Linked DNA regions of Anolis sagrei. The protein of the gene in region 1 purifies or fractionates together with the protein of each later gene. This does not show direct contact. Links are inferred from orthologs where the notes say so. Each region holds a gene or a part of one and is shown in the gene's direction. Other genes may lie near its edges.

Region 1 (6,722 bases):
TCCGTCCTCCCTTCCTTCCTTCCTTCCTTCCCTCCCTCTTTCCTTTTATCTGGAAAGGTTGCCCTGAGATCTGGGGCTGGAAAGATGGGGTCTCCTTGGATTTCCTTCCTGGCCTTAAGCACCCCTCAGCATTGGCAATGGTGATGGGGGGTGTAGTGCAAAATAATCTGGATTTTAGAAAACACAAAGGCGGGATGCTTTGGGTGGCAGGCCTGCCATATCGCTTCAATTTTGCTATATTTATCGTGTCATCAGCAACCATACCATTGTATTACAATTCTAACGGAACAAAATAAACACACAGATTAAAAAGAAAAGAAAAAAAACCCACAGATTTTGCAAACTTGGTAGTTGGTGAAATGTCCTTTGCCCAGTATCTGACCCCTTGGAGTGCCTCTGGTGTTGCCTCAAGAAGAAGGTCCTCCCTTGTGCATCATGTGGCAGGGCTCAGGGTGCATTGCAGCAGGTGGTCAGTGGTTTGCTCTTCTCCCCACTCGCATGCCGTGGATTCCACTTTGCGGCCCCATTTCTGAAGGTTGGCTCTGCATCTCGTGGGGCCAGAGCGCAGCCTGTTCAGCGCCTTCCAAGGAAGTCTCTCATTTGAGGTTCTGGGTTTGAGCCTGCCACTTTTGGACTCTCGCTTGCTGAGGTGTTCCAGCGAGTGCCTCTGTAGATCTTAGAAAACTATGTCTTGATTTAAGTCGTTGAGGTGCTGGCTGATACCCAAACGGGATGAGCTGGAGATGTCTGCCTTGGTCCTTTCACTTTTGGCTGCTACTTCCCAGCGGATGTCAGGTGGTGCAATACCGGCTAAGCAGTGTACTTTCTCCAGTGGTGTAGGGCGCAGACACCCCGTGATAATGCGGCATGTCTCATTAAGAGCCACATCCACTGTTTTAGCGTGGTGGGATGTGTTCCACACTGGGCATGCAGACTCAGCAGCAGAGTAGCATAGCGCAAGGGCAGATGTCTTCACTGTGTCTGGTTGTGATCCCCAGGTTGTGCCAGTCAGCTTTCGTATGATGTTGTTTCTAGCGCCCACTTTTGGCGCTTCAATTTGGCTGGCAGCATATTGTATTTTATGTTATTTTATTTCTTGATTTTTGTTGTGTTTTGTGTTATATTGTGTTTATTGTATTGATGACCTCATGTAAGTTGCCCCGAGTCCCCTTTGGGGAGATGGTGGCGGGGTGTAAATAACATTTTGTTGTTGTTGTTGTTGTTGCAGGTGTTTGGATTGTGTTGTTGCTACTACTGCTGCTACTACTACTAACTGACCTGTTTTAAGTGATTGTTTTATTCTGTTTCCATGTCTATATGACGTAGATTGTCGCAGGCGCTTGGATTTTGAAATATTATTGCTAACGGACTTGTTTTAATAATATTTGGGTTCATTTTTCCATGTAGTTGTTCTGAAGCAATTGTGCATTACTAGCCGAGATCCATATTCCCAGGTACTTTATCTTGGTCTTAACTTGGAATCCTGTCCTTTCTTGTAGTTCTTCTTTTCTCTTTTTTGTGATGTTTTTAGTTAAGATGACTTCTTATTATTTATTTTGAATCCCGCTATCTTCCCAAATGCTTCGGTTCTTGATATCCACTTTTCTATGTTTTTGACTGGGTCCTCTATGATGCAGATCACGTCATCCGCAAAAGCCCTTAATTTGAATTCTTGCTTGGCAATCTTCAATCCTTTCAGTTCTCTGTCCCGTCTTATTATGTATTCCAGCAATGTTTCTAGTGCCATTATGAATATTAAGGGGGAGAGGGGACATCCTTGTCGAGTCCCTTTACTGATTTGGAACTTTTCTGTTAGTTGTCCATTTATTTGAATTCTTGCTTCTTGGTTAGTGTTTATAGCATTCTTAAATTGGTAGCCTAGGTCTAATTCGTCCATCAGTAATTTAAAGAAGTTCCAGTTCAGGTTGTCGAATGCCTTTTCCGCATCTAGTGATAGCAGTGCTAGTTCTTTCTGATGATGGGTGTTGTAGTATTCCATTGTATTACAGGTTATGGGGGGTGGGTTTTGGGTTTTGTTTTCCTTCCATCATGCCTAGAGAGGGTTTGACAGGGATGGCCTTTGGGGTCTCTTCTGGATTTGAAATTGCCCTGTTTTGTAGTGTTGAAAGCCGCTTTGCATCCTAATGAGAAATCAAAAAGTGGTATGTTTTTTGTTACAATTCCTAACTGACTCCGTTTAATGATTGTATGTTCCGTTTTATTGTCATGTTTATATGATGCAGATTTCAAACTGCATGTGTCTTTTAATGTTGTGGGCCATTTTGCCTCTTAATCAGCGATGGAAGTTGGGTGATAATAATATTAATAGAAATAAATAATAATAATAATAATAATAATAATAATAATATAAGCCATAGGGACCTTTTAAGCTGGAAGGAAAGTGGGAGGCATATTCCCTAACTTGAAAGTAGCCACTGGAAGAGAGAATAATTATTATTATGTATTATTATTACTTATTTACAGTATTTATATACCGCCTTTCTCAACCCTGGGGGGACTCAAAGCGGGTTTACACAAAAATAATGGCAAGATTCATGGCAAGAATAATGGCCTTATGTTGGCCAATACAATTACAATAGTAAAACCACAATTAAACATAAATCCTAATGAAAACAATACATCAACAAGCATTAAAACAATAAAACAGTCTCGTCAACGTATTGTCGAAGGCTTTCATGGCCGGAATCACAGGGTTGCTATAGGTTTTTTCGGGCTATATGGCCATGTTCTAGAGGCATTCTCTCCTGACATTTTGCCTGCTTCTATGGCAAGCATCCTCACCTCACTACCTCTGAGCATCCTCGTCAGCCACCATAACTACCATATTGACCGGCTATTAGGAATTATGGGAGTTGAGGTCCAAAACACCTGGAGGGTTGAAGTTTGCCCAGGCCTCATATTGACTCAAGTCTAACGCTCCATCGAAGGTGAGCATTAGATATGAGTATAATAGTAGTAGTAGTAGTAGTTGTTGTTGTTGTGATGCCTGTGCCATATGCCTGCCACTCCGAAAGGTCCCTCCATCTTGTCTGGAGCCCAGTGACCTTGAGTGTGAGTGAGCCAGTGAGTGAATGAGTGAGTGCTTGCTCACCTTGACCCCTCCTGCCTTGGAGCCTGGCCTCTGCGTCCTCCGCTTGGCCCGCGTTCCCTCTTTGCAAAGGCAAGGTGGGCAGGGGCCTCCCACCCACCCACCTCTCCCCTTGTGAGTCAGCAGTGCCCTCCCTCCTCTCTCCTTCCTTCCTTCCTTCCTTCCTTCCTTCCTTCCTTCCTTCCTTTCCTCCATTGGTGGCAGTGGAGGCTTGGCCTCTTTCCGTCCTCCGCCTTCTTTCTTTCTTTCTTTCTTTCTTTCGCTGCCGGAGCCGCACTCAGGAAGCGGCAGCAATTCACCCTCCGCAGCAGAATCCAAGGGCGGACAGGAAGGGGTTCAGGGGGGACCCCAAAGAGGACACTGCCGGCGGGCACCTGAGCTGCAAGGAGGGAGGGGCCTGTCTCTCCAGAGAAGGCCGCCTCCAGACGGTCGGGTCCGGCATCTCCGGCTGACCGCTGCCCATCACTGCTGCCCACGTGGGCTCCCCCCCCCCCACACACACTCCTCCTCCTCCTCTTCGGTGGCTGAACAGAGCGGCTTGTGTTCGGCTTCCTGGCAGGCTCCCCACTGCCTCCACCTTCCCGGATCCATCTCTGTGGCCTCCCTCGCTTTGGGCCGTTTCTCCATCTCTCCTTCGCAGGACGTGGCTCTCCGATTGTCATCCTCAAGCAGCAGAAGAAGGACGACGATCCAAATCAAAGCAGGGAGAGGCTCAGCAGTGTGGGAATCGGAGATCGGGACGCGAGGCGCTGTCCTCCTTCATCTCCTCTTCTTCTCCTCTGGCATCCCACAGACTGGGATCTTGGCTGTCATTGGCGTGGTCTCTTGGCCCTTCCTTCGATTGAGTGGATTTGGTGCAAGGACAACAGCGATGACCGTAACCGGACAGTCCTAACCCCTTGGGTCCCAAGGCGCTGTCCTCCTCCTCGCTCATCTCTGGTATCCCAGCTTTGAGGACCACAGACTGGGATCTCGGCTGTCATTGGCGTGGTCTGTTGGCCCTTCCTTCGATTGAGTGGATTTGGTGCAAGGACAACAGCGATGACCGTAACCGGACAGTCCTAACCCCTTGGGTCCCAAGGCGCTGTCCTCCTCCTCCCTCTTCTCTGGCATCCCAGCTTTGAGGACCACAGACTGGGATCTCGGCTGTCATTGGCGTGGTCTGTTGGCCCTTCCTTCGATTGAGTGGATTTGGTGCAAGGACAACAGCGATTACCATAACCGGACAGTCCTAACCCAGGGGTGGATTTCTCCTTGGATCCCCTCCCTTTGGTCAGCCATGTCGTCCAGGCAGAGCATCACCTTCAGACCGGCGTTGGCAGGAGCGTGAGCTTGGCCAGGACTCACTTGTTGGGATGGACCTCCTCCAGAAGAGCAGATACAACCACCTGCGCAACGACTCCCTCTCCTCCCTGGAGGATGGGCCCTTGGGGGTGGCTGTGGCGGGGGTGGCGACGGCGGCAGAGGAGGAGGAGGAGGATGAGGAGGGCTCCCCGCCGGACCCCTTTGCGCTCCTGCCGGCGGGCTCTCTCTCGTCGTCGTCCTCGCTGAGCCCCATGCTGCCCCTGGGGGAGCTCTCCTCGGAGTCGGAGGACAGCCCCACCACCCTCTGCTCCTTCTTCCCCAAGATGGCCAACCTCAAGCTCTCCAACCCGGCCGCCACGCTGCTGGGCGGCTTCCGGGGCTTCTCCAGGGAAGAGCCCCCGCCCGTGCCCCCAGCGTTGCCCCCGCCAGCCTTGCCCCCCTTGCCCCCCCTTGCTGCCGCCTCCCCGGGCTCAGCTCTGGCTCTCTCTTCCCAGGATATGAACAAGCTGGGCTGCGGCGGGAAGAAGATGCGGGTGGAAGGCGGCCAGCTGGGAGGGGACGAGTGGACGCGCCACGGCAGCTTTGTCAACAAGCCCAGCCGCGGGTGGCTGCACCCCGACGACAAGGTCATGGGCCCCGGAGTCTCCTACCTCGTCCGGGTGAGTGAGCCAGGGCTTGTTCAGAAGAGGAACTCTCTGCCTCAGAGTTCGTTGGAAGCTCCTCCTTGGGAGGGTGGGTGGGCATCTGTCAGGGGGGCTTTGATTGTGCTTTTCCTGCAGGGCAGGAGGAAAGGGGGTGGCCTCTGGGGTTGCTCCTGTTGTTGTTCTTTACAAAGGCTGGGTGGCCATCTATTAGGGTACTTTGATTGTGCTTTTCCTGCATGAAGGCAGAAGGGGGTCGGATTGGGATTGCTCCTGTTGTTGTTGTTGTTGTTGTTGTTACTAGTAGTAGTGCTATTGTTATGGCTACTACAGAGACTGGATGGCCATCTGTCAGGTTGCTTTGATTGTGCTTTTCCTGCATGAAGGCAGAAGGGGGTTGGACTGGAATTGCTCCTATTGTTGTTACTACTAGTAGTGCTATTGTTATGGCTACTACAGAGCTGGGTGGCCATCTATCGGGGTGCTTTGATTGTGCTTTTCCTGCATGAAGGCAGAAGGGGGTTGGAGTGGGATTGCTCCTGGGGTTGTTGTTGTTGTTACTACTAGTAGTGCTATTGTCATTACTACTACAGAGACTGGATGGCCATCTGTCAGGGTGTTTTGATTGTGCTTGTCCTGCGTGAAGGCAGAAGGGGGTTGGATTGGGATTGCTCCTGGGGTTGTTGTTGTTGTTGTTACTACTAGTAGTGCTATTGTCATTACTACTACAGAGACTGGATGGCCATCTATCAGGTTGCTTTGATTGTGCTTTTCCTGCATGAAGGCAGAAGGGGGTTGGACTGGGATTGCTCCTGGGGTTGTTGTTGTTCCTACTAGTAGTGCTATTGTCATGGCTACTACAGAGACTGGATGGCCATCTATCGAGGTGCTTTGATTGTGCTTGTCCTGCATGAAGGCAGAAGGGGGCTGGACTGGATGGCCCTCTTTGTAGCGCCTTCCAGCTCTCGGATTGTATCTCCCTATTATGGCAGAAGGGGGTAGACTGGATGGCCTCCTTTGGGGCCCTTTCCCACTCTGTGAGTCTAGTAGTAATCATGATAACAATGGACACTAACCTCCCAGCCACCCCGCCTCCCTCCTCCTCTTTGGCCGGCCTCCCTGTGCCTGGGCGCCTGCCCCCGGCCTTCCCTTCCGCCACATGATTGCCCTTGACGGGCGTGTGCCGGGGAGCGAGTGAGCAAGCGAGTGAGTGTGCGTCCATCCGTCCATCTGCCCCCGGGGGCTTGGCGCACAGGCCCTTCCCTGGCGCAGCGACCCACTTTGAGGCACCCGGCTGCTGCCCCCCTGCGACACCCAAGGAAGGACCCAGCCCCCCCCCCCCTCCGCTTGCCTTCCTCGCTCAGCTGGAGACACAGGGCGGGGGAAGGAAAGGTCCCTCGACTTGGAAGGGACCCCCAGGGCCACCTCAAGCCCCTTCGGCCAGGCAGGACAAGCACAATCAAACCCCTCCCAACACGATGGCCAGCCAGCCTCTGCTTAAGGAGTTGGGTGGATGGATGGAGAAATAGATTGAATAGAATCCCAGAGTTGGAGGGCGCCCCAAGGGAAAGAGTTCTCTCTGTGATGGGTTGGGCTGGGTATCCCTTGGGGGGCAGAGGTGCAGAGGTAAGACCTTCAGTAGATCAATAAGCAGGCAGAGGTGCAGA
Region 2 (6,722 bases), on another chromosome or scaffold:
TGTCCACCAACATTATGTTTCCCATTCTTGAGTTGGGAGTATAGTAACTGCTTTGGGAGACGGTGATTGGGCATTCGGACAGTGTGGCCGGTCCAGCAGAGTTGATGGCGGAGGACCATTGCTTCAGTGCTGGTGGTCTTTGCTTCTTCCAGCACGCTGATATTTGTCCGCTTGTCTTCCTAAGAGATTTGCAGGATTTTCCAGAGGCAGTGCTGATGGAATCGTTTTAGTAGTTGCATGTGACATCTGTAGATAGTCCACGTTTCGCAGGCATACAGCAGGATTGGGAGGACAATAGCTTTATTAACAAGCACCTTGGTAAACCCTATGGATGTTCTGGTCCTCAAACACTCTGTGCTGCATTTGGACGAATGCTGCACTCGCAGAATTCAGGCGGTTTTGTATTTCAGTGTCAATGCTGACTTTTGTGGAGAGGTGGGTGCCAAGGTAGCGGAAATGGTCAACATTTTCTAACGTTACACCATTAAATTGTATTTTTGGCATTGCAGAGGGATTCGCTGATGCCTGCTGGAAGAGCACTTTGGTTTTCTCGATATTCAGTGAGAGGCCGAGTTTCTCATATGCTTCTGCAAAGGTGTTTAGAGTGGCTTGTAGAGATAGCACACACTACATTGTCATCAGCATATTGGAGTTCTATAACAGATGTTGTGACCTTGGTTTTGGCTTTCAGTCTACTGAAGTTAAATAGCTTGCCCAGAAGTGGTTTGGCATTTAAATTCTCTAGAAACAGATCCTAGATAGCACTTGCCATATCTTCACATTGCTCTATATAAGTACTATTTTTTATCTTTAAAAAAAATAAAATGGTACTAAAAACTTACTAATTCTCATCTTAATAAATATTTTAAGCAATATTGGGAATGATAATTTCAAAATAATATTACTATTATTGTAAATAAGTATTATATTTATTATAATAAATATATATTATTATTATTAAATACTACTACTAAGATTGTTTATTTAGTAGCCATCCCCTGCCACACATTGCTGTGGCCCACTCTGGTGGTCATGGGGGTTCTGTGTGGGAGGTTTGGCCCAATTCTATCATCGGTGGGGTTCAGAATGCTTTGTGATTGTAGGTGAACTATAACTCCCAGCAACTACAACTCACAAATGTCAAGATTCTATTTTCCCCAAACTCCACCAGTGCTCACATTTGGGCATATTGAGTATTTGTGAAGAATTTGGTCCAGATCCATCATTGTTTGAGTCCACAGTGCTCTCTGGATGTTGGTGAACTACAACTCCAAAACCAAAGGATACTGCCCACCAAACCCTTCCAGTATTTTCTGTTGGCCATAGGAGAACTGTGTGGCAAGTTTGGTTCAATTCCATCGTTGGTGCGGTTCAGAATGCTCTTGGATTGTAGGTGAACTACAAATCCCAGCAACTACAACTCCCAAATGACGAAATCCATTTTTTTAGTGTCTTGTGTCCAAATTTGGTGTCAACTTGTCCAGTGGTTTTTAGGTTCTATTAATCCCACAAACGAACATTACATTTTTATTTATATAGATTTATTTATGACATTTATATGCCGCCCTTCTCACACCGGAGGGGAATTAGAGCGGCTTACAAAATATATATACATACAATATATTATATTATTAGCATAGTACAATATCAGTATTAAATATTACTATATTGTACTATACCATTATATTGAAATATTATTAGTAATATTACATGTAAAATAAATATGTAATTATAATAATATATTATTATTATTATATTGCATTACATTATAATATTATAAATATTATATGTATATACAATAAATTATATTATATTACATTATATTAAATAATATAAACATTAGACTATCAACAACAATAAATGTAGAAGAAATAATAGTACACTTAGATAAGAAGAACTCGAACCACATGGAAGAGGATTTGAATCCATGCCTTTCCATCCTTTAACATTTCTCTTTTGCGCCTATTGGCTCAAACCTCGTGACGTCAGCTGCCCCTCCCAGCCCAGTCTCCAAGTCTCCTCTCCCCAATGTTCCTTTTGCCGCCGTTCCGCTGTCACCTCTTTTAGCCAATGAAAAGAAGCATGCTGCTTGAATGACAAGAAGCTCTTCCTCCAATAAGAACCCAGAAGAAGTGTTGACTGTCCATCAGTGGGGCGGGAACTAAGCGTGCTGATTTCGCAAGAAGCTGGAGAGAAGGAGGGCGGGATATCCCTTGAAGGACATTCCTCAGAACCACTAAGAAGAAGAGATTGTCTACAAAGGGGCGGGAGGGAAAGAACTATAGGCGGGACATGTCCTAACCTACGCCCAATGGAAAATGCAGGACGGCAGGGGACTTATTTGACATAAGGGGCATGGCGGAGCCAATAGGGAGAGGGATAGGCGGGATTTAATCCTCTCTGCCAATCATCTAGGAGGATGCTTTGCCTTCAGTGAATAGGAACAAGGATGGACTTGACAGGCGGGGTCTCAAGCCAATGGGATGCAAAATCGCCTACGACGGACGTAGAGAGCGGCCAATGGGATAGTCCCTGGTCGGTTCGGTGCTGCTGGGCCAGGTTTCGGGCGCGGAGCGGAACGGAGCGTCGCCGGGGTCCCGATCCGCCACCGCCACCATGCCGGCCGTTTCCAAGGGAGACGGGATGCGGGGCCTGGCCGTATTTATCTCCGATATCCGAAACTGTGAGCAAATGGGGAAGGCTGGAGGAGAACGGGAGGGGAGGGGCCGTTGAAGAGGAAGGAGGGAATGGGAGAGGGCCGAAGGGGGGCTCGGAAAGGGGCCTCGGGTGGGATTGCGGCCGGGAAGGAGGCAGGAAGCCGGTTGACGGCCAGGCTAGGCCAGGCCAGGCCAAGGAGGGCCCTTGGGAGGGGCTCCTGGGGGCCCCTTGGCTCCAGCCTTGCTCTTGGAGAAAAATTGTGAGGGCATCCACACTGTGGAGTTGATCCAGTTCCATCCCACTTTAATTGCCATTGCTTGGGACCCTGGGAGTTGTAGTTTGGCCAGGCACCAGCACCCCTTTTTTTGACAGACCTTGTGAAACTACAGCTCCCAGGATGCCCTGGGAGTCCCAAGTTTTTGCCAAACTGAGCTAGTTCCACAACTGTGTCTCCACTGCACAATTATAGCGCTTTTAACCCCACTTTCACTGCCATGGGATCCTGGGAGTTGTAGTTTGTTGGGGCACCAGAGCTGTATATGCCTCACAAAACTACAACTTCCCCAGGACTGGATAGCATTGAGTGATTGCAATTAAGAGTGGGATCAAAACTGCATTAGGGTTGTTGTAGGTTTTTTCGGGCTATATGGCCATGGTCTAGAGCAGTGGTTCTCAACCTGGGGTCTCCACATGTTTTTGGCCTACAACTCCCAGAAATCCCAGCCAGTTTACCAGCTATTAGGATTTCTGGGAGTTGAAGGCCAAAAACATCTGGGGACCCCAGGTTGAGAACCACTGGTCTAGAGGCATTCTCTCCTGACGTTTCGCCTGCATCCATGGCAAGCATCCTCAAACATAGTGAGGTCTGTTGGAAGTAGGAAAAAGGGTTTATATATCTGTGGAATGACCAGGGTGGGACAAAGGACTCTTGTCTGCTGGAGCTAGGTGTGAATGTTTCAACTGACCACCTTGATTAGCATACACTATAATGACCTGAGAGTGCCTGAGAGGTGATTAGACAATACATAAAACTGCATTAATTCTACAGTGTGGATATAGTTCAGGCTGGCTGGCTGGCAAGGGGAGATTTGACTAAGGCAGGCATGGGCAAACTTTGACCCTCCAGGTGCTTTGAACTCCCAAAATTTCTAACAGCCGGCTGTTAGGAATTGTGGGAGTTGATGTCCAAAACACCTGGAGGGCCAAAGTTTGCCCATACCTGCTCTAAGGTGATAAGTTGGACTTACGAGTTGGCTACAGTGTCAGCTGTAGGTTGGGTGACAGGTTTGGCTTAGGAGTTCACTTGGGGACATAGGGTGAAATATAAATAAAGTATTATTATTATTTGATACATAATAATATTAGTACACAGTAAACAAGATCACTATCCTGGCTTTTGTGTTTGCTCACACGCCGGATACTTCCCAAGTGTCTAGGACTCTGTGATGTTTCGGCAAATAATGTGTGCAGATTCTAGTAGGGTGGCCTTTTGCAGCTGACAGATGGTATTTTTGTCAGCGTCTATTGTTTTTAGGTGCAGGCCAAGGTCTTTAGGCACTGCACCCAGTGTGCCAATCACCACTGGGACCGCCTTTGCCGTCTTGTGCCAGAGTCTTTGCAGTTTTATCTTTAAATCCTCACATCGTGTCAGCCTTTCCAGTTGCTTCTCATCAATCCTGCTGTCGCGTGGGATTGCAACATCAAAGATCCATACTTGGTTTTTTTCCACAATTGTGAGGTCAGGAGTATTGTGTTTCCAAGAACTTGTCAGTCTGAATTTGGAAGTCTCAGAATTGTTTGATGTGTTTATTTTCGTAACTTTTTCAGGCTTGTAATTCCACCAATTCTTTGTCACAGGCAGATGGTATATTATTATTATTATTATTATTATTATTATTATAGCAAAGCAGCTTTTTGGAACTAACTTGAAAAACAGAGCGAGCCACCAGGTGCCAATGTGGAAGATGGACATTGTTGTATGGTTGTAGACTGTGGTCTCATCTCCACTGACTATTTAACACAGTTTCAAACTGACATTGAAGAAAGTGGTTTCGTCGTGCAGATGAATACACAAAGGAAACCCTGGTCCAGATGGTGATAAGACAAACTATACAGAGGATTTTCTTTCACACACTTTTGTGGGACTTTCTCGATGCCACAGTTTGAAGCTAGGTCTGAATTGCATTAAATGGTCAGTGCAGATGGGGCTTGTGTGGAGGTGGACTAGGGAGTGGGTGCTGGAGAATATGAGGGTTGCAAAGGAAAAAGGGGCATGAGAACCAAGGTTAAATATTTGAAAGGATGTCATGTTGATGAGTGGACAAGCTTTGTTTTCTGCTGCTCCAGAGACTAGGACACAGTGGAGCCGTAGATTCAAATGATTGAAAATGAGATTTCACCTGAATATTAGGAAGAATTTCCTGACCATGAGAGCTGTTCAATAGTGGAACTCTGCTTCAGAGTGGGATGGAGTCTCCTGCTCTATAGGCTTTTTAACAGAAGCAGGATGGCCATCTGTTGGGAGTGCTTTGATTATGTGTTCCTACATCGCAGGGGTTGGACTGGATTGCCTTTGTGATCTCTTCCAATTTTATCATTAAGTGTCTGGTTTTTACCTGATTTCTGATATTTGGAGGGAGAAAAAGTGGGGTGCAATAAAAAAGCAAAAAAAAGTTGTCAACGGAGAATGTGAGAAGGGCTCATGAGGCAGGAAGAAAGGAACAAACTCTCATCCTGGTTTGTTCATGTGTGGATTTCAATGCCCTTCTTCATTCCCATGTTCCCACAACAAGGGCATTCAAAAAGTGAATCATACACAAAAATCCAAAACTAGGGAAATGGACACATTCCATAGTACAGGATTACATTTTCTTGGGAAGCATTTGTGTTGGATCTATACCAATATAGAGGGTTAAAGGTGATATTCATCACTTGGCACCAAGGGCTTGGACAGATACTGTTGAGAGCAAAGTAAGAAACAGCTATTTACATTGAGTTGTTGTAGGTTTTTCGGACTTTATGGACTTTATGGCGTTCTCTTGACGTTTTACCTGCATCTATGGCAGGCATCCTCCGAGGTTGTGAGACCCCACAACCTCTGAAGATGTCTGCCATAGATGTAGGTGAAACATCAGGAGAGAATGCTTCTAGAACATAGTCATATAGCCCGAAAAACCTACAACAACCCAGTGATTCCGGCCATGAAAGGCTTCGCCAGCTATTTACATTCTGTGTACAAAACGCAAAGGGGGGGGGGGGGGGGGGAATAGCCTGAATTCTGTTTGGGGAACACAAAATAAATTAGAGAAATGTTCCTGGCTGCTGTGAATCAAATTCTCTGTCCCCTCCCCAATGCATATCAGGTAGAGCCTAATGGAACATATAATTCCTATCAGGAACATCCATTTGCCTTAAGGGCAAATGGATGATTTTGATAGGAAGTATATGTTCATAGCTGTCAGCATTATGTGGTATTGGGGAAAAAAAGATTGGCAATCACTGAGCTTTAATAGTAAGTATAAATAGGAACCTTGTCATTTTTCAGCTTGCCTCTGCAGTAATAGGAAAGATGCTAGTAGTGATTGAAAGGATGAAGATGTTACATTTCAGATCCATGAGATCTTCGTTCAGTGCCAAGTCTTTCTTTCTAGACTTTTGTGGGGGCGTTCCAGTGTGGCCAAAAGTGTCTGTTTCCGTTCGCTTTCCCTACTTCCTTCTCAAGAATCCTGATCTTCCCCTTCACCCCACCCTTCCTCTCTTTGGCTCACACAGTCACAGAGTGTTGTGCAATATCTTTTTTTTTGCAAAGATTGTACATGAAACCAATAGGGTGATTGCAGTGTGTGGCTCTCCACGGGTAGCAGTCTTCGGGGCTAATTTCAAACAGTCCTTTTTAGACTTTGATCCTACCATTGTTGACTCTTCTTCGTCTCCCACCACCCAAACATCCCTGGGGGAGAAAGTCAATCTGAAAGCAAAAGCCATCCTAGAAAATATACACAAACAATGTACAGAGGGTGTGGGAAATTGTAATTATGTCATGAGTTGGAGCACACTAAAGATAA
Region 3 (6,722 bases), on another chromosome or scaffold:
GTTTAAGCACATTTCATGGTTCCGATATAGACAAATCAGAGAACATTATAATGTGGACAAGAAAAGAGGCTTTATGGCAAAGGAGACGGTCTGGGATAAAATAATGCTCTCTCAAAGCAAAATCATCTCCAAAATTTACAAGAAACTCTCAGAATGGGCACAGGAAAAAAAGACAGACAAAGACTGCATGGCAAAGTGGGCCTCAAACGTTGGACGCACAATAGGACTCAGTGAATGGGAATTAATATGGAATACTAAAATAAAATTCACTTATTCATATGAACTACAGGAAAACTGATATAAAATACAATACCAGTGGTATCACACACCTGAAAATTTACCAAAATGTTATAAGAACTTAGGTGCAAAATGTTGGAAATGCAAAGATGAGATGGGCTCATTCCTACACATGTGGTGGAGCTGTAACAAAGTAAGGAAATATTGGAAAATAATTCACGGTGCAATCCAAAAAATAATTCAAGAACAAATAAATTTTAGTCCAGAACTCTTCTTGTTGGGTATCATGGATTAAAAATTGGAAAAGAATAAAGACATCCTCCTCACCTATTTAACAACTGCTGCAAGAATAGTACTCGCAAGGCGCTATAAAACAGAAGAAATCCCAACAAGACAAGAATGGTTGATAAAAATGATAGAGATCATGAAAATGAATCTACTCACTCAACAACTAGCTCACAACCAAAACAGAACTAGAAAAGCGACAGACTGGTCACAACTAATTTATTTATTTATTTTATTTAAAACATTTATATTCCACCCTTCTCACCCTGAAGGGGACTCAGGGAGGAGCACAGCATATATATGGCAAACATTCAATGCCGGGACATAAATTCATATACACATACATAAACATTAAAAACATTAATCTCAATATTAAAAGGCACCATCTAAAACCATCCTAGTCATCAGTGGCAAATCTAATCGGCCTGGTAATCTTTCCTATTTCCGATTTATTGCCCTGTCCTGAAAGCTTGGTCCCACAGCCAGGTTTTTACCATCCTTCTGTAGGACAGGAGGGAGTGGGCTGACCTGATCTCACCAGGAAGGGAGTTCCATAGCCAGGGAGCAATCACTGAGAAGGCCCTGTCTCTCGTCCCCACCAATCGCGCCCGTGACCACAACTAACCAGCTTTCTGAAACAGGAGAAGATGAAGGTTATGCTATGAACGGAAAAACAAAGAACAGCTTAAGCACTTGAAGCAGATAATCAACCTAGGAAAGAACCAGTAAAGAAGAACCCCCAACAAACTGGCCCACGGTCAAGAGTAAATATCCTGTAACCCCCTTCAATTTTTTTTCTTTTTCTCCCCTTCCTATTCATTTTTTTAACCTGCAAAATAAAATCAATAAAGATATATTTAAAAACAAAACAAAACAAAACAAAACGATAAATCCCAGCAACTACAACTCCGAAATGATCAAATCAACCCCCACCCCACCAGTATTCAAATTTGGGCGTATCCAGTCTGTGTGCCAAATTTGTTGCAGTGAATAAAAATACATCCTGCATGCCAGAGATTTACATGACGATTCAGAACAGTAGCAAAATTACAGTTATGAAGTAGCAACGAAAATAATATTATGGTTGGGGGTCAGCACAACATGAGGAACTGTAGTATTAGGGAGGTTGAGAAACACTGACGTAGGCGGCCTCCCATCCAAGCGCTAACCAGCGCTGACCCTGCAGAGCTGACCGGGTGCCTTGGCTTCTGCCTGTCTCTCCCTCCTTAACTTCCCGGCCGCCTTCTCGCCTCCGCCCGGCAGGGGGCGCGTGTCCCGGGCATCTCTAGCGGGGTCTTGGCGAGGCGAGCGTGGGCAGGAGGAGGAGGAGGAGAGGCGCGCGTGCGTGGCGTGGGCGGCTGCAGGGCTAAAGGTCCTCCTCCTCCTCCTCCTCCTGCTTCTGCTGAGACTGAAACCGAGCGGCGGCCGTGGCTGCTCCGCTGCTGCCGATTGCGGAAAGCTCGGCCAAGGCTTCGCCGCCAAAATGCCGGCTGTGTCCAAAGGCGATGGGATGCGCGGCTTGGCCGTCTTCATCTCCGACATCCGGAACTGTGAGTGGCCCCCCTGGGGGGGGGGATGGGGGCGCCTCCTTTTGCGCGTGGGCAGAGGGGAGAGGAGGCTCGGAGCTGGCTTCCCATCATGGCGTGGGGAGAAAGAAGGCGAAGCTTGGCCGCCTCCTTCCCTCTTGCCTGCTCGGTCTGTCGGGCGGGGCTTTTGCTTCTCTCATGCCTTCCTTAAGGACTGAAGTAACGGGAATGAGCTCACCGTTCCTGGCCTTAGGAAGAAGCTCCGTTGGAAAGAGAGCCTTTCCAACGGAGTGTGTTTGTTCTGCATTCCTAGGGCCTTTTCCCCCTCCTTGAAATGACATGCCCTTCTCTTGCCTCCCCATAAAAGCCTTCCGTCATCTACACTATGGAATGAATGCGTTTGACACCACTTTTAATTGCCCTGGCTCAATGCTATGGGATCCTGGGAGTTGCAGTCTTACAAGACCTTTAGCTGGCTCTTCCAGAGAGGGCTGGGGCCTCACCAAACTACCCATCCCAGGATTGCATAGCACTGAGCCGTGGAAGTCAAGCTGCATTCATTCTACAGTGTAGACCAGGTATGGGCAAACTTGGGCCCTCCAGGTGTTTTGGACTTTAACTCCCACCATTCGGAATGGTGGGAGTTGAAGTCCAAAACACCCGGAAGGCCCAAGTTTGCCCATACCTGGTGTAGATCCATCCATAGATGGAGAAAGCCAAAGATCTTGGGAAACTACAACTTCCAGGATTTAGAAGTTTGCCCATACCTTCTGTAGATACATCTGTAGGTAAAGAAAACCAAAGATCTTGGGAAACTACAACTCCCAGGATTCAGAAGTTTGCTCATACCTCTGTAGATACATCTGGAGGTAAAGAAAGCCAAAGATCTTGAGAAACGACAACTGCCAGGATTCAGAAGTTTGCCCATCCCTGGTGTCGATACATCCGTAGGTAGAGAAAGCCGAACACCTTGGGAAACGACAACTCCCAGGATTAATTACCATTGCGCCATGGCAAAATGGTGTCAAAGTGCATTAATTTTGCAGGTAGATGCACCTTGCAAGTCTTTAGGGACGTATCCTCCTTGATTCACTTCTGTTCCTAAACCATCCTGACTGAGTGGCTTGCAATGTGTGAAGCCCAGGTGATCTGCCCATTCAAAGCCTGACAACTCATCCCAGTGAAACCACTGGGTCTGTTCTGTGAGGAAAACAGATAAATCTGGAAATCCTCTAGGAAAGAAATGCTTTAGTTAGTAGGGAGGAGGAAGAGGGAGAATGTAGCTCCTTTTGAAGAAAGTGACATTTCCCTTTTTCTATGGCCGTGTGAATCAGGACATTTCATGCAATGCTCCAAGTGCATTTATTGTTTATAAGAGGTACAGTATATGTGTGCGATGCTACCACCATAAACACCTCTACAATCCCTTGTTTTCAATTGAAAGAGTAATATGTTGAAAATCTATTACACACAACAGCCGCCCAATGAAATCAACCCCAATTTAGAATAATCCCAATCTCGCAGTTTTGAGCTGTGCTCTCCCTACACATTTGTCCCCTGAATTCAGTTCAGTTTGGAGATACCAACCGTTGGAATGGCTCAGGCTTTGTTGTCTCTATTTAGCAGGCAAGTTAGTCAAATTGGTGCAGGGCTTGTGTGTGAGTGTGTCGATAAGCCTGCAAGTCATCTGAGGTTTTACCATTTCCATGCTGCGTAGCTGACAAAATACTCCTAATCTTCTTTTGGCAGCAGGGCTGCTGCCTCCAGGAGACCTTTTAAAGCTGATCTAGAGATGTCTGTCTGTGTAAAGAGCCATTAGCCAGTGGTCAGTATTAATCTTTGGAATTGGTTGAAGGAGGCCAAGGACTGGATTGGTAGTTATTTCAGCACACACTTTCTCACCACAAATGGACTATCAAAAATCCTCATATTGTGTGGACCTAGAGTTGGAAGAGACCTCGTGGACCATCCAGTCCAACCCCCTTCCAAGAAACAGGAAAATTGCATTCAAAGCATCTCTGACAGATGGCCATCCAGCTTCTACTTAAAAGCCTCCAAAGAAGGAGCCTCCACCACAGTGCAGGGCAGAGAGTTCCATTGCTGAACAGCTCTCACAGTTCTTCCTAATGTTCACGTGGAATCTCCTTTCCTGTAGTTTGAAGCCATAGTCTCTAGGGCAGCAGAAAACCAGCTCCCTGTGACTTTTCCTCATATATTTATATATGACTATCATGTCTCCTCTCAGCCTTCTGTTCTGCAGGCTAAACATGCCCAGCTCTATAAGCCTCTCTTCATAGGTCTTGTTCTCCAGACCCTTGATCATTTTAGTTGCCCTCCTCTGGACACATTCCAGCTTGCCTGGCATGAATAAAAAATCTTCTTGCTGAAAAGAGATATTCTCACCCACCAGATACCATATATGGTTGGTGCATCACATTTGTGAACTTGAATATTTACGGTTTTTATTATAATGTTCTTCCCAGGAATCTCAAGGTCCTCCAGTGCAACTCTGTGGTCAATTTCCACCAGAAGTGGAGGACCTCGAGGTTACTAGAAAGAACACCTCTCTTGGAATCTCTTGGCCTCCAATGTGATTCAGGCAGAAATTAACAATAGAATGGTGCTGGACAACCCAGAAATTCCTAGAGGGGTGTTCTCTTAGGTAAAATAAAGGTTGTTTTTTTAAAAAATGTGGTTGTTCACTTTTGCAGGGATCATGTGCCCCTAAATGAAGATTGAGGGTTGACTAGGCTTCAGAAAAATGAATGACAAGTAGATTTGTTTCTGGAGTGCTCCAGAAATAACCTCTTCTCCACCATCTCATAGTGAAGAAACATAATAGGAAATATCTCCCAGTAGCCATACTATAGGAGTTTGGCACAAAATAACTGGTTAGATATTACCATAGTGATCACTGTGCTTTCTGTGCTGATTCTTGTCTTTCATGTATTCTACCGGAATCAGGTTATGCCCATTGGGGCAGAGATTGACATAACCTCAATTTGATTTAGTATCAAGTAGGTGTTATTTATTTATTTATTTACCATATTTATATCCCACCTTTCTCAAGCCCAGAGGGGACTCAAGGCAGCTTACAACTGGCAGCAATTCCATACCCCTCATTTAAAAAAAATCTCTAGTTGGTGAAGCAAACCATTATTTGGAAGTGGCCTCTCAGAGAGGACTGTTCAGGGATGGATATGCTTAAATCCCTTTGTGCAATAGAAGGCTTTTTAGCTCTTTTTGCCATTTGTAGGGTACGATATGTGTGTGCCTTCAAGTCATCTGTCGACTTACAGCAACCACATGAATTTCATAGGATTTTAAAAGCAAGGAATACACAGAGAAGGCTTTGCAGTTCCTTCCTCAAAAATATAGCCAATGGCATTTAGTGTTCTCTGGCAGTGTCTCATCTATATGTTAACCTGGGCTGACCCTGATTTGCTTCCAGGATCTGATAGGATCTGGTACCTTTAGGGGATTTAAGCCAATGGACTCGGGGAGTCTGGGGTCCAATTCCCCACTAAATCATGAAAACCACTAGATGACCTTGGGAAAGTCACTTTACCTCAGGCGTAAAGGAAGGCCTCCTTTGAATAAGTCCTCGCCCCCGCACCAGAAAAAATAGGGTCACAGTATGTCCAAGTTAACAGCAAACATCACATTTATTATTACAGTTTTTATTCTATAACTGCTTGCATCCATTGTATTTATTCCAGTAATAGGCTAATCAACAGAATGACAGAAATCACAAACAATGTGATACACTGCGGTATATACAAAGCTAAATCCAGCTATTCATGGTTAAAACAATTAAAATGAGCCACGTTTGCAATAACTCATCTTTTGTAATTGTTTCAGTAACAGAGGGAACTGTATTTGTGAAGTACTGTACATAAGTTTTGTGTTTTCCACTGGAAAATCTCAAAAGAAAGAAAGAGGGTAATTAATTTCTTCTCAGATAGTGATAACATTTACAAAGCAGGAGGACATATAGAAGTGTCCCCAAGTCTCCAGACTTCCAGGAAAGAGATCGACAAGAGAACGTAACTTTCCCTTAGGTGGCCAAACAATGTGATAGAAACATCTGTGTGGGAATGTGCTTGGGACTGAGCTATTTAATAAAATTTCTTTTATTTGTATATGTGTCGAGAGAATTGTTGTTCATGTTGCATACCATGTGGTTATCTGGGGGTATCTAATAAAATGATCAGAATGTTTGTGTTCCCTGAGCTAATTTTCCACAGATAGTTCTCTCAGAGGTGGATTAGTTGAAGAAAAAATGTTTCATAATCCTAGAGTAAAGCTAATCTTCTTGGTGTGCTGTATTTTGACAGGCAGAGAGGAGAGGCAGTGTTGAGTCAGACCCCTGAAGAATCTACATAAAACAGAGTGTTATGCAGATCTGGTGGACTGACTAAACACTTCCTCTTCCCCTTTCCCTGTTAAAATACCATACATAAGATATGGATACAGGAAGATTAGCTTTAATATAGTATACATGTAAGCACTTTAGGAATGAGTGAGGATTTCAGTTCATTTTTAATAAGAATTTACCCAAATTGTCAGAATTCAAATAGGAGAATGTGATAGATATGTCCACCTACTAGAGATATGTGAGAGTTTTGTTTCAGTTTTCAATTAGAGCATGACTTAATTAGCAAAATTGAGACA

What was found.
Region 2: the proteins of SHC1 (region 1) and AP2A1 purify together in Homo sapiens (affinity purification with mass spectrometry; 4 studies listed by BioGRID and IntAct, counting the BioPlex papers as one, with this or other methods). This does not show direct contact. The link is inferred for Anolis sagrei from reciprocal best matches to the Homo sapiens genes SHC1 and AP2A1.
Region 3: the proteins of SHC1 (region 1) and AP2A2 purify together in Homo sapiens (affinity purification with mass spectrometry; 4 studies listed by BioGRID and IntAct, with this or other methods). This does not show direct contact. The link is inferred for Anolis sagrei from reciprocal best matches to the Homo sapiens genes SHC1 and AP2A2.

What each region holds. Positions count from the first base shown.
Region 1 is NC_090032.1:232,421-239,142, forward strand, and holds the start of SHC1 (SHC-transforming protein 1), read left to right. Parts: upstream 1-3,267; 5' UTR 3,268-4,464; coding exon 4,465-5,073; intron 5,074-6,722. UniProt on the Homo sapiens protein: Signaling adapter that couples activated growth factor receptors to signaling pathways. Participates in a signaling cascade initiated by activated KIT and KITLG/SCF.
Region 2 is NC_090026.1:28,905,170-28,911,891, reverse strand, and holds the start of AP2A1 (AP-2 complex subunit alpha-1), read left to right. Parts: upstream 1-2,525; 5' UTR 2,526-2,616; coding exon 2,617-2,683; intron 2,684-6,722.
Region 3 is NC_090021.1:242,354,929-242,361,650, forward strand, and holds the start of AP2A2 (AP-2 complex subunit alpha-2), read left to right. Parts: upstream 1-1,824; 5' UTR 1,825-2,005; coding exon 2,006-2,072; intron 2,073-6,722. UniProt on the Homo sapiens protein: Component of the adaptor protein complex 2 (AP-2). Adaptor protein complexes function in protein transport via transport vesicles in different membrane traffic pathways.